2 linked regions of the Mus musculus genome follow. The protein of the gene in region 1 interacts with the protein of each later gene in a biochemical or structural test. Links are inferred from orthologs where the notes say so. Each region holds a gene or a part of one and is shown on either strand. Other genes may lie near its edges.

Evidence for each region. The genes of interacting proteins can lie anywhere in the genome.
Region 2: the proteins of Supt5 (region 1) and Ccnt1 form a complex in vitro, tested with the Homo sapiens proteins (2 studies listed by BioGRID, with this or other methods). The link is inferred for Mus musculus from reciprocal best matches to the Homo sapiens genes SUPT5H and CCNT1.

What each region holds. Positions count from the first base shown.
Region 1 is NC_000073.6:28,327,090-28,333,344, forward strand, and holds part of Supt5 (transcription elongation factor SPT5), read right to left. Parts: intron 4,441-6,255; coding exon 4,281-4,440; intron 3,557-4,280; coding exon 3,491-3,556; intron 2,941-3,490; coding exon 2,929-2,940; intron 2,564-2,928; coding exon 2,494-2,563; intron 2,396-2,493; coding exon 2,327-2,395; intron 2,236-2,326; coding exon 2,170-2,235; intron 1,962-2,169; coding exon 1,931-1,961; intron 1,683-1,930; coding exon 1,614-1,682; intron 1-1,613. UniProt on the Homo sapiens protein: Component of the DRB sensitivity-inducing factor complex (DSIF complex), which regulates mRNA processing and transcription elongation by RNA polymerase II.
Region 2 is NC_000081.6:98,542,703-98,548,957, forward strand, and holds part of Ccnt1 (cyclin-T1), read right to left. Parts: intron 6,010-6,255; coding exon 5,964-6,009; intron 4,207-5,963; coding exon 4,043-4,206; intron 3,893-4,042; coding exon 3,822-3,892; intron 1,907-3,821; coding exon 509-1,906; 3' UTR 1-508. UniProt on the Homo sapiens protein: Regulatory subunit of the cyclin-dependent kinase pair (CDK9/cyclin-T1) complex, also called positive transcription elongation factor B (P-TEFb), which facilitates the transition from abortive to productive elongation by phosphorylating the CTD (C-terminal domain) of the large subunit of RNA polymerase II (RNA Pol II).

The DNA of each region.
Region 1 (6,255 bases):
CCTATGTCTATGTGTGTTCATACTCATATGTGTAACGACTGCAATCAGAGGTCATCCTCATGTGTGCAGCCCACCTTAGACTTGGCTAAACTGGTCAGAGAGCCTCAGGGATCGGCTAGCACTGGAGTTACAAGCACGCACTACCATCCCCAGCCTTTGTACATGGATACTAAAGACTGAACTCAGATCTTAATTCTTGCACAGTAAACATTTTTATCAACTGAATTATCGCCCTAAACCCTGACTGTGTTTTAAAATAGGGTTTCACAGCCCAGGCTGGCCTAGAAAGTGGTATGTAGCCAAGGATGACCTGTTTCTCCTGCCTCCACCTCCCAAGTGCTAAGATTACAGATCTCTATCTATCATCATAACTGTGTCTGGTCTTACGCAGTGCTGAAGACCAAGCCTGGGACCTCGCGCTCGGCAAGGACATTACTACTCTAATCCTTTTGTTTTCTGAGACAGTTTCTTGTGTAGCCCAAGTTGGCCTTGAACTCTTGATCCTCCTGCTATAATCTACCAAGTGCTAATGTCAGGTATGGGCTACCATATCTGGCTAAAAGACTTTTTTGTGTGTTTTTAAAAATATTTTTATGGGGGGCTGGTGAGATGGCTCAGCGGTTAAGAGCACCAGACTACTCTTCCAAAGGTCCAGAGTTCAAATCCCAGCAACCACATGGTGGTTCACAACCATCCGTAAAGAGATCTGACTCCCTCTTCTGGAGTGTCTGAAGACAGCTATAGTGTACTTACATATAATAAATAAATAAATCTAAAAAAAAAATATTTTTATGATTAATTATGTGTACATATGTATCTGTGTATGTGCCTGAGACCAGAGAGATCAGATCTCACGGAGCTGTCGTTACAGGTAGTTGTGTAATTGTGAGCAGCCTGATGTGAGGGCTGAGAATCAACTCCAGTTCTCTGTAAGAACAATATCCATCCCTAACAACTGAGCCATCTCTCTACCGCACTTTTTAAATTTATTTACACACACACACACACACACACACACACACACACACACACACACACACACACACACACACCCCTAGCGACATGGTCAGTAAGAACATTTGCTTAGCAAGCATGAAGACCTGTATTTGAATCCTTAGCATACATGCAAAAAGCCAGCAGGTACGAAGATATGGAATGAGACAGGAAGATCTCTAAGGTTTGCCAGCCAGCCTAGCCAAAGGGGAAAAAAAGAACTCCAGGTTCAGTGAGACCCACCTCAAGAGAGTAAGGCACTGACCAATAGGAAGCTACATGCTATTCTAGCTTCTTCATGACCGCACAACACTATTCACTGCACATGTGCATACATACACTGCAAATCAAGGACTGGAGAGATGGCTCAGCCAAAGGGCAAGAGTCCAGTTCCCATCATCAGTCAGCTATCTCTCCAGCTAAAAACAAACACCACCAACAAAAACCAAGTCCCAGGGAGGCAGAGCCCCTGAGTCAGGCAGTGGTCTTCGCTTTTGCTCTAGTTCATCTGCTCACTTGCTCACTGCACAGGTCTGCTTGCCCAAGGGTGCCTAGTGCCTGCAATATCCTTCCATCCATCCATCCTTTCTCACCCACAACCAGTCCACTTCTTGACTTACTGTGTCTGTGAACTGGTAAGCGATGAATTTCCGCATCAAGGAAATTGCCGTGGCTCGTTCCTCCCCAATCTGGAAAGAGAGACAGGTGTTGGAGAGCTGACAGGGAGAGGGCAGGAGACAGGAGAAGCAAGGGAAGGTAAATGGAGGAAGGTGAAGTAGGAGAGAGATGGATTCCAAGACAAAGGCACTAAAGGACATGAGAAAAGGGGATAAAGAGGCAAAAGCGAGTGAGAGAGAGAGAGCGCTACAGAAAGACCAAGAGACCCAGAGAGACATATGGCCCCTCCCCATATGCAGCCCAAGATCAGAATACACACCTTACACTTGACAGTCCACAGGTTGGGGTCCCTACATGGCACAGGATAAGAAAGACAAGGAAACTTATTACCAGACCTGTCTCCTCACTAAGTCATGATCTATACCACCACCTATCTTCCCCTCTGGCCCAGGAACCACACCTCATGAACCGTACACAAGAGTCTTACTTCCTCTACTTCTATGTGTCTTGACCCCGTATGGGATTCCAACCCTGATTTCTATCCTCCTACTGTCTTACTTGACTCCTGGGAGCAGCTGCTGCTGAGTGATGTCATCTGAGAGCTCGTCAGACCCTCCATACACCCTAGAGAAAGAAGAGCATTGAGAAGAAGGGATGTCCCCGTAGCCCCGCCTGCTTCCCACACAGGGACCACCCACCCCCGCCAGGCACTTACGTCTCTCCCACAGACGACTTAGCATATTTCTTCATGTAATACTCGCCCAGTTCTTCTTCTCTCTGGTCCCTGGGACACAAGGGGAAAAGCAGACATGAAGGAAAGTCAGTCTGCCCCACATCTGTCCAAGGAAGCTAGGTCCCCCCCAGGCCGCCTCAGTTGCTCACCTCCAGAGATTCTGCAGACGACGAGCCCCAGAGCGGTCTTCATCCAGCACAACGTTATCAATATTGGAGGCTGGAAACAGAGTCACAAGGGGAGTCAGGCCGGGAACCAGCTTGGGGAGTTGAGGGGACATGCCTGGCCCTGGGGAGATGGCTAAGGCTCCCCCATCCTTCCCCCATCCTCTGTCCTCCTCAGCCTCTTGCTTTCTCATCACACACACTCAGGGATAGGCCGGCTGCTGACACAGCCGCCAACTGAGCATGCCCTGAGCACCCCACCCATACTCCTATATGCACTATATTTACACCTGTGGACACAGAAATGTGCACCTTCCCAGGTCAGCGACCCCAAACTGCCTAACCCTGCACCCCATGTGAATCAGAGCCCCAGGGCCACACAGGATATGGGACCACAGACCACACTTCCCCAGTTCTTACCTTCAATCTCTTCTACTCGGAGGAAGAGGAGAAGGTGGTGGTGGTAGTGGTGGTGGTGGTGGTGGTGGTGGTGGTGGTGGTAGTGGTGTGCAGGGTAGACAAAGTATGAGCCAAATTATAGCAGCGAAATCAACCAATGGGGTGGGGCAGAGGGAGGGACACAGGAAGGTCAAAACCAAAAGTAAAGGCCAGGCACCAGGTGGGTGGGAGAAGCCGAAATGTATGAGGCGCACAAAACGGAAAGTAACAGGGGAGGGGGCACTGGCCCAGCAAGTGGGGGGATCGGGGTCAGAGCCCGCCCACCCTACACCCCACAAAAGGGATACCCAAAATCCTCTTCCTATAATACCACCCACCCGACAGTCCCCGCCCCCCACTCATGGGCCTAAAAGGAAAAGGGTTGGGGGAAGCTGTCTCTCTGGCAAGGACAGAAAGAAGCACGGTGAAAAGAGTGAGGGTTGGGGTGGGTGCAGGGCATGGGGTAGGGAGAGGGCTTAAAAGAAAGACACCCTCCCAGGCATGATTCACCCCGAGTCGTCTTGCAGGCAGGTCCCACACACACCTTTCTCCAGGATATCTTCAGCTCCATCTTCCCACTGGTCTTCATCTTCATATTCATCATCTACATCTGAATGGGAAAGCCAATGGGATCAGCAGAGAGGAAAGGTGACCTCAGAGCAGCAGCTCCAAGAGAATGAAACACCTCTAGAAGAACAGAGAACTCCGGAACTACATAGCCCTGGACCCGGACTCAGAGAGGTGTGATGCGCTTTCTCCAAGGGACACCACACACTGGTAGAATGCGGCAGGGCTATGTGTAATGTACATCTACCTAGCTCTGAAGGCCATCTGCCCCAACACACCACAGACCCCTTCCAAAAAATTAAGACCAGAGCTGGCAAGGAGGCAAACACCTGTATCCCCAGCATTCTTATCCAGGTCCCATGAAATAGGATAGCCACCCCAACTACTTGAGAGGCTAGCAAGAAAACTGCAAGTTCAAGGCCAGCCTAAGCAACTTAGCAAGACCATGTCTCAAAATAAAAAGTAAAAAAGAAGGCTGGGGAATGGCTCAATGGCACAGCATTTGCCTAGAATCCACCTGTTAGGTGTCAGGATGTGGCTCCACAAGTAATTATGTGGCACAGTCAATCCCCACACTTCCTTTCTTTTTTGTCGACGTGCATCCAACTCCTAAGTGTGGAAATTAAAGTGTGTGCCACCACTGCCAGGTCAATACATACACACACACACACACACACACACACACACACACACACACACAGAGAAATTGAACCACAGACTGTCTCGTGCATACTTTAAGTACAATACTTCCTGGCCTTGTGACATACCAGCCTCATCTAAAATGAAGCCCCCATGGCGTGGTTTCTTGGGGGGCCTATCATCATCTTCCTCCTCTTCTTCCTCATCGTATTCTTCCTCTTCCTCCTCCTCTTCCTCAGGCTCCTCCTCTTTTTCACTGCCTGCAGCACTTCGCTGGTCTTCCTCAACCTAGAGGGATCAAACAGAGTTGAGGCACCAGGATTTTACTATCCCCAAATCCAGAAAAGCTCGTTATCTCTAGCTCCTTCTCCCTCTGTCTCACAAGCATATCCACAATGCACTCAAAGTCTCAATCTGACCATGCCTCTGATTACTGTCCTACCTCAAGTGACAGTATAGCCAAGACCCTTGCACCCAACCAACCCGCAGGAGCCAATCAATCCTTACACTGGATCCCTTGCTCTGAGAGCCATTATATGCCAGGTTTGTGGCTTGTTCCTCATCTCTGTGCTTCTTGAAAAGTCCAGCTCCTAACTCCACAGGATGTATCAGGTGCCTGATACCCATGGATGTCCCTAGCACAACCTTTGCACTTCCTAACACTAAGGATCAACATAGCTGCTACTCACCCTGAGCTCCATTATTGTGTGTGTGTGTGTGTGTGTGTGTGTGTGTGTGTGTGTGTGTGTGTAAGAGAAAGACAGGGTCATTCAGTAATGCAGACTCCCTTGGAACTCGCTGTGTGGCAGTCCCCCCGTTTCCCAAGTACTGGAGTACAGGTATAAACCACCATTCACAGCTTCCCCTCATCCCTTTAAGCAGCTTTGGACAGACCTTCCATGGGCCCAGGCTCTGTCTAGGGCCGTGTTTATCCTTTCTCCCACACCTCTCTCACTGGGCCATTTACCATCCAAGACTTCAGCTCCTGTCTCTACTGCTGATGCTTCTATTCGCCACTATTTTCCAGAAACAGAGCCTCCCCCACATGCAGCAGCCTCTGGGTTGCCTCTCTATATCCTATGGGTCTGCCGGGCCAATAACCAACTGGATTCTAATCCCCGTTCCTTACCAGTTAAAATCGGATCCACGAATTCTGCTGCCCAAGCATCAACCTTTAACTCACCACCTCAGGGCTCCCCCATCTCCACATTGCTATAACGTATTTATCCAGTATTTCTGTATGCTATTTTTACTTTACTTTTGCTTATTATATTTATTTGCACATGTGCCTGCACCCAGCCTATGAGTAAATGGCAGGTATGTGCAGACATGTGCCCTCAGAAGGTGTAAGGTCCCCTGAAGCCAGAGTTACAGACAGCTGTAATCCACATGACCTAGACACTGAGTACCAAACACAGGTCCTCTGGATGAGCTGTGCTATGAACTGTAATCAAAGTTTTAAAACCCAGCCGGGCGTGGTGGCGCACGCCTTTAATCCCAGCACTCGGGAGGCAGAGGCAGGTGGATTTCTGAGTTCAAGGCCAGCCTGGTCTACAAAGTGAGCTCCAGGACAGCCAGGGCTATACAGAGAAACCCTGTCTCGAAAAAACAAAAAACAAACCAACAAACAAAAAAAGTTTAAAAACCCAATTAGAGGGCTGGAGAGGTGGCTCAGCTGTTAAGAGCACTGACTGGGCTTCCAGAGGACTTGAGTTCAATTCCCAGCAACCACAACCATCTGTAAGCTGATCTGATGCCCTCTTCTGGAGTGTCTGAAGACAGCAACAGTGTATTCACATAAAACAAATAAATAAATCTTTAGAAAAAAAGGGGGGAGGGTTTAAAAAGATATAATATAGCTGGGCAGTGGTGGCGCACACCTCTAATCCCAGCACTTGGGTGGCAGAGGCAGGCGGATTTCTGCTTTGGAGGCCAGCCTGGTCTACAGAGTGAGTTCCAAACAGCCAGGGCTGCACAGAGAAACCCTGTCTCAAAAAACCAAAAATAAAGACACATCCGTTTGTATCAATATATACATTTCTTTAAAAGATTTTGTTAATTTATTTTATACCTGAGTGTTCTTTTGCATACTCGCCTGCTTGC
Region 2 (6,255 bases), on another chromosome or scaffold:
AGCAAAATCCCTTTCCCTCCCGATTATATAAAAAAAACTAAACATAACTTACTTTCTTTAAATTATTTTTTAAAAGTCTCTTAAAGATTTGACGTTTAAATACTTCCTCTCTTCTGATATGTTTAACACCAAAAGCATCCACAACCGCTTGATATGCCCTCCACATTTTAGTTCTGGCAAGAAGAGGGAAGATAACTACTCCAATCAACCTAGTTAGGATGAAGAGAGGCCAAGAGTAGAGTGTGTTCTTCATCCTTCACAGCTTCGACATAATCCCACCTCTCTAATACCAGCACGAACTGTAGATGTGAGGCAGCAGATCGAATAACTGAGGCCCTCCCTCCACCACCCGCCCACTTGTCTCAATAGCAATTTACTCCTTAGGTGACAGATTTCATAAGGGATGTAATTTTCGTAGTCTAATATCAGTAGTCAAAACAAAAAAACAAAACAAAAAAGTGTTTTTTGTTTTTGAAGTTTTTGCCTCTTTTTTTTTTTTTTCTTTTTTTCACTTAGGAAGAGGTGGAAGTGGTGGAGGGGGTTCTGATGGGAGGGGTGGTGGCCGAGGTTTGTCTGTAGTGCCAGATCTGGAGGAGATGGCACCAGCTCTGGGATTCATATATTCACCATAAGAGTGGACAAATTCAAATGCAGGGGCCTGTGTGGGCTGAACCCCCTGGGCACTAAGCAGGGAGTGGAGCATATTCACAGTGTCTTGATAATCTATTGACTGAGTTGCGTTGTGACCATTAGCCCCAGGAGGGCCTTTATCCAGTTTCATATGAGGAACTCGAGTTTTACAGCTAGGCTGTGAAAAGGGCAGGCCACTTGTGTCTGAGCTATGCCCAGGCAACTGGGTCATTGTAGGAAGGGGGGGGAAGGGGAAATTCAAGGAAGATTTAGTACTCTTGGCAATCTTGGCTGGATGATCAAATACTGCTGCCCCAGTCTCTTCCGGGGGACCCCTTTTACGAGTAGAGCTGGAAGAAGACAAAGTACTGGACAAGCTGTAGGTTTTGTGTGCTAAGGTGCTTGTCTGGCTGCTGTGTTTTGGATCACTTGGGCGTTTGCTCACGGGGCCGGCTGGCAGCTGTAAGTGAGAGTGCCTGTGTGAGTGGTGGTTGTGATGGTGGTGGTGGTTAGACGGGTGAGTCCTCTGCTTCTCCTTGTGCTCGCGGCTCTTGGTGACACTGTCTTCTATGGAATTGTGCTTATCCCCTGCAGAGTGAACTTTAATGCGCATCTTTATCTCCTCTGGCTTGGAAGAAACTGCTTTATCCCCACTGGCCACAGGGAGTCTCATTTTCAGAGCTGATTTGTCAGCCTTATCCAGAAAAGGACGTTCAGGGTTTTCTGAGCTCTCAATGGGCATTTTGAGAATAACTGAAGAATGGCTGTCGTGAGACAGGAGATTCTGGGCAGCATACGCATACTGTGACTTCACATTGGCCTCCATGTTCTCCAGCTGCCTCTTCTGAGCAGCCAACTCTTCCGCGTGCTTTGCACGGTACTCCTTAAGTGAAACCTTAGCAGATGGCACACTCTTGCTCGCCTGCTTCTGGGAACCAAACGCACTGGAACCATCCTGTTGCAAGGAATGATCAACGCCAATAAGTGCTAAACTCTCACTAGTCCGATGACCCTGGGCAGCTTCGAGTTTAAACGGAGGTTGGGAAGACAGCCACCGCTCGCCCTGCAACATATCCACACTAGTTAGACTGCTCGATGACTCCTCAGAGGAAGGCAGGGAAGGCACTGCACTTGTAGACGCAGTTGACATGCTCATTAATCCTGCGATAGTTGTGTCTGAAGAGGTCTGAGAAATCATATTGAGGATTGTCTGCTCCGACGTGTTTTCATCTGCTCCTCGGTCATCTGGCTTGGTTTTCATGGCAGCCTGGTACGCCTAGGACGAAGCACATAAACCTTCATGCCAAGCAATTTACTGAGCGGCAGTACAGGGAAACGTCAATTAGGGGAACTTTTCTGGGTGGCTTTGTGTTCCTTTTTGTTTACTGGAGGTGGGGATTTTGGTTTTTGTTCAAGACCAGGCATGTCTCAAACTCAGAGATCCTCCTGTCTCTACCTCTTGAGTACTTAAAGACATTCATCGTCACACCCAGAAAATAAAGCCATTCTTAAACATTCAGTATAACTACTTTTTTTGTTTGTTTTGGTTTGTCGAGACAGGGTTTCTCTGTGTAGCCCTGGCTGTCTTAGAACTCACTCTGTAGACCAGGCTGGCCTTGAACTCAGAAATTCGCCTGCCTCTGCCTCGCAAGTGCTGGGACTAAAGGCGTGCGCCACCACTCCCAGCTCAGTATAACTACTTGGAGGCTGCAGTTAGCCTTTTTAAATTCTAGAAACTTTGATGAGATTTGTATGAACATAAGAGATTAAGTACATGCTTTGAAGTCCATTTCTAACTCAAATCTTCTGGAGGCAACAATTCTCTATAATTCACCAGACTCAGGAGACTTGGTCTGAACTAATAAGAAATACGGGAAATTTCTATACATGGTGGTTCATGCTTGCAATCCCAGCACTTAAAAGGTAGAGGCAAAGGCAAGAGGATCAGAAGTCCAAGGTCAGCCTCTCTAACAGCAAGGCTCAAGGCCAGGTGGAGCTACATGAGACTGTCTCAAAAGAGCTGGGCGGAGGCTTTCTTCCTTCTTCTGAGTGCTGGTGATTGAGTGCAGGGCCTTAGGCAAGGTGAGGACTTTTCATCTATCTGATGCGATGGGAAAGGGAATGGCTATTACTCCCAAGACTAAAATATTTGCATTACAACTCCAGACTGAAGCCCATTTAAGAAGAAAACCCTGGGCTGAAGAGATGGCTCAGCAGTTAAGGAAACTTGCTACTGTTGCAGAGGACCTGGATTCTGTTCTCAGCAACTATAGCAGCTCACAACCACTTAAAACTCCAGTTCCAGAAGAGCTGACATCTCTGACCTCCACAGGTAGTACATGCACATAAATGTAGGCAAACACTCATACACAAAAAATAAATCTCTCCCCAAACCCCAGGTCACAATATATGTAGCCCCAGGTGGTCTCAAGCTCTCAGAGGTCTCTGTCTCCCAAGTGCTGGTATTAAAGACATGCAGCACCATGCCCAACTGTAATGATAAATCTTTTTAAAAAGAAAAAAGGAGCCGGGCATGATGGCGCACGCCTCCACTCGAAGGCAGAGGCAGACGGATTTCTGAGTTTGAGGCCAGCCTGGTCTACAAAGTAAGTTCCAGGACCACCAGGGCTGTCCCTGTCGCTGTCTTCAGACACATCAGAAGAGGGCATCGTATCCCATTACAGATGGTTGTGAGCCACCATGTGGTTGCTGGGAGTTGAACTCAGGTCCTTTGTAAGGAGCAGTCAGCACTCTTAACCACTGAGCTATCTTTCCAGCAGACCCCCCTAAAACCCCCTAAAACATTTTTAAAGTAAAAATCACACTCAACCCTTCTAATTCCATCCATATCTTGCCCTACAGTCTTTTATCCTAAAGACTGAAATCCTGCTGGGCAGTGGTGGCCCACACCTTTAATCCCAGCACTTGGGAGGCAGGGGCAGGCGGATTTCTGAGTTCGAGGCCATCCTGGTCTACAGCACGAGTTCTAGGACAGCCAGGGCTACACAGAGAAACCCTGTCTCAGGAAGAAAAAAAAAAAAAAGACGGAAATCTTAGTTCATATCCATGCTATAAAGTCACAATTACTGTTAAGCAAGAAGGAAACTCCAAACCAAGCACACATATCCAATTCTGGTATATTCACTGGTGCAGTTAAAAGAAAGAATAAGTTTATCAGCACTAAGTCTTACCCTCCAATTCCGAATACGTTTCAGCCTGCTTGGAGTTTTCTCTAGAATCTGTAGAAATTCATGTGTCAATTCTACAAATGAAACATCCAAGAAACGCTCAGAGACAAGAATATCATAAAAAAGAGAAAAACCTCAACTAACTCACTGTTTTCAAGTCATGTTTGGCCAGATATGTGACAAATCAAGACGTGCGTTTCAAGGTCCCTTACACTAAAACTTACCATCTAACAGTTCCAAGGTCACAGTGGCGTCAACATACTCCCACCAGTGCTTCCCGTCAGTTGAGACTGGGATCTCCCAGTTGGACCACTTGCAAGCCAGATGGATGCAGACACAGGCCACCACAGGAGGTGTGTACTGCAGGCTAAATGTGGTCAAATGCAGGCTGACATCAAAGGGAAGGAAACAGAGAGTGTCATGAGCCCTCAATTCTCAACCCTAAACTAAAACTCTCCATTATATAAAAAAAAAACCAAAAAACCAAAAACAAAAACCAGAGGAGAGTGAGAAGGGCAAGACCATCCCGTGCTGACTCAGCACTCAACATGCCTGTCGTCTTTCTCTAAGATTGACTTCTAAGTACCTGGACACGTCTGTGGTGGGGTAAGCACAGTGAGGGTGTGGAGGCCAGAGGTGTTAGACCCCCTACACCGTGAGTTACAGGCGATGGTGTACATCCACAACAGATACTGGGATCTGAACTCAGGTCCTCTGGAAGAGCTATATGTGCTAGGCTAATCTCCTCAGCACCTCAATATCACTTTCTATTAAAATACTGCACAGGTTAACAACACTTCTAAATTTCCTAGTATCACACACTTAGTAAACAGAATACTAGTGAACAAAAAACAAAAATAAAAAAAATAAAAGAAAAAAAAGGAGCTGGGTAGTCAGCCTCGGTGAGGCATACCCCTTTAATAGCCCTTGGGAGACAAAGGCTGGCCTTTGGGTCTCTGTGAGTTTGAGGCCAGCCTAGTCTACATAGCAAATTTCAAGACTGCCAGAGTTATTTAATGTGACCCTGTCTGTCTCAAAACAAAAACAAAAGGAAAAAACAATCAAAGTCAACATAGGAGGATCAGAAGCCTGATCCCAAAACATGGGAAGTGGAAGTTCAAGGCTGGCTTAAGCAATGAGACCGTCTCAAAATGTAAAAATAAAAATGAAAAATAAAAAAAGTTGCTCTCTCAAATACAAATATACCTGATTTTTTTTTTTCTTTTAAAGATTCTGTCTGGGTTTAGGCGGATCTCGTTCTCTGGCTGCCTCAAACTCACAGCAATCCTATCTCCCCATCACAGTACTGGAGCACCATGGTGCTTGGCTCTTACTTTAAATTTGCTTCATCTTTCCTCTTCGTGTGTGTGTGTGTGTGTGTGTGTGTGTCTGTCTGTCTGTCTGTTTAGTAGACAGTTCAGCATGGCTTTGAACTTGCTGTCTGTCTGTCTGTCTGTCTGTCTGTGTGTGTTTAGTAGACAGTTCAGCATGGCTTTGAACTTGCTGTATTCCAGAGGATGACCCTGAACCACTCATTCTCCTGCCTGGGTCCTGAGTGCTGGGATCTCAGACTGGGCCACCACACAGTGTATGCAGGGCTGGCTTACTAATGCTGACCTTCTCACACTTGGTGACTGGGGATGACCGAACAAACAATATGGGAGTCAGACACAAGAACAAGCAGGTCACTGGGCAGAACAAGTTACATACTAACAGCTTTTTAAAAATTAGATAGATAGATAGATAGATAGATAGATAGATAGATAGCAAATCCTTGTAGACTAAGTGCCCATTGCTTTGGCAAAGGAGAAGAAAATTAACAATCCCCCCAAAATTACATGAATGTTCAGGTTGTGCTCTTGGACATTTTATAGCAAAGTTAATGCATAGAATTATGTATGCTAAATAAGTACAAAACCCTAGTTAATTAAAGGGTATAAAGCAAATATAAGGAAAAAAGTAAAATCTGCAGAAAAATTCATTCTCCAGAGTGCTGTCTACAATACATTACAACAAACGTTATTTTTATGGTCTTTTGTCTCTAGTTCACAAAGTGATCCTATAAATCCCTCAAGAGATGACAAGTCCAACCCAACCAAATTCCAAACCCAAAAACAGAAGAGGAAAATAAATAAAAATATAAACCTGTTGGTTGCCATGAAGTAAGATGTCTGTGCTAAGTCCTTGCTTGCTAACAAAAACAAAAGAAAAAGACGTTATTAGTTCCATTTTTTCTCAACAAATACTCAGTAAACATGTACTATTTGTAAGGTACGCAAACAGTGGTAAGTTAGGCAGACCCAGTGCCTGGTCATCTGGTGCATACATTCTACCCAAGCAAACACATCAGCGACTCTGGGAAGAAGGGGCAAGTGGGATGCTGGCAACTCAACACAGGGTCTCTTTCAGGCTAAGCAGATGGTCTACTCATTTCTTT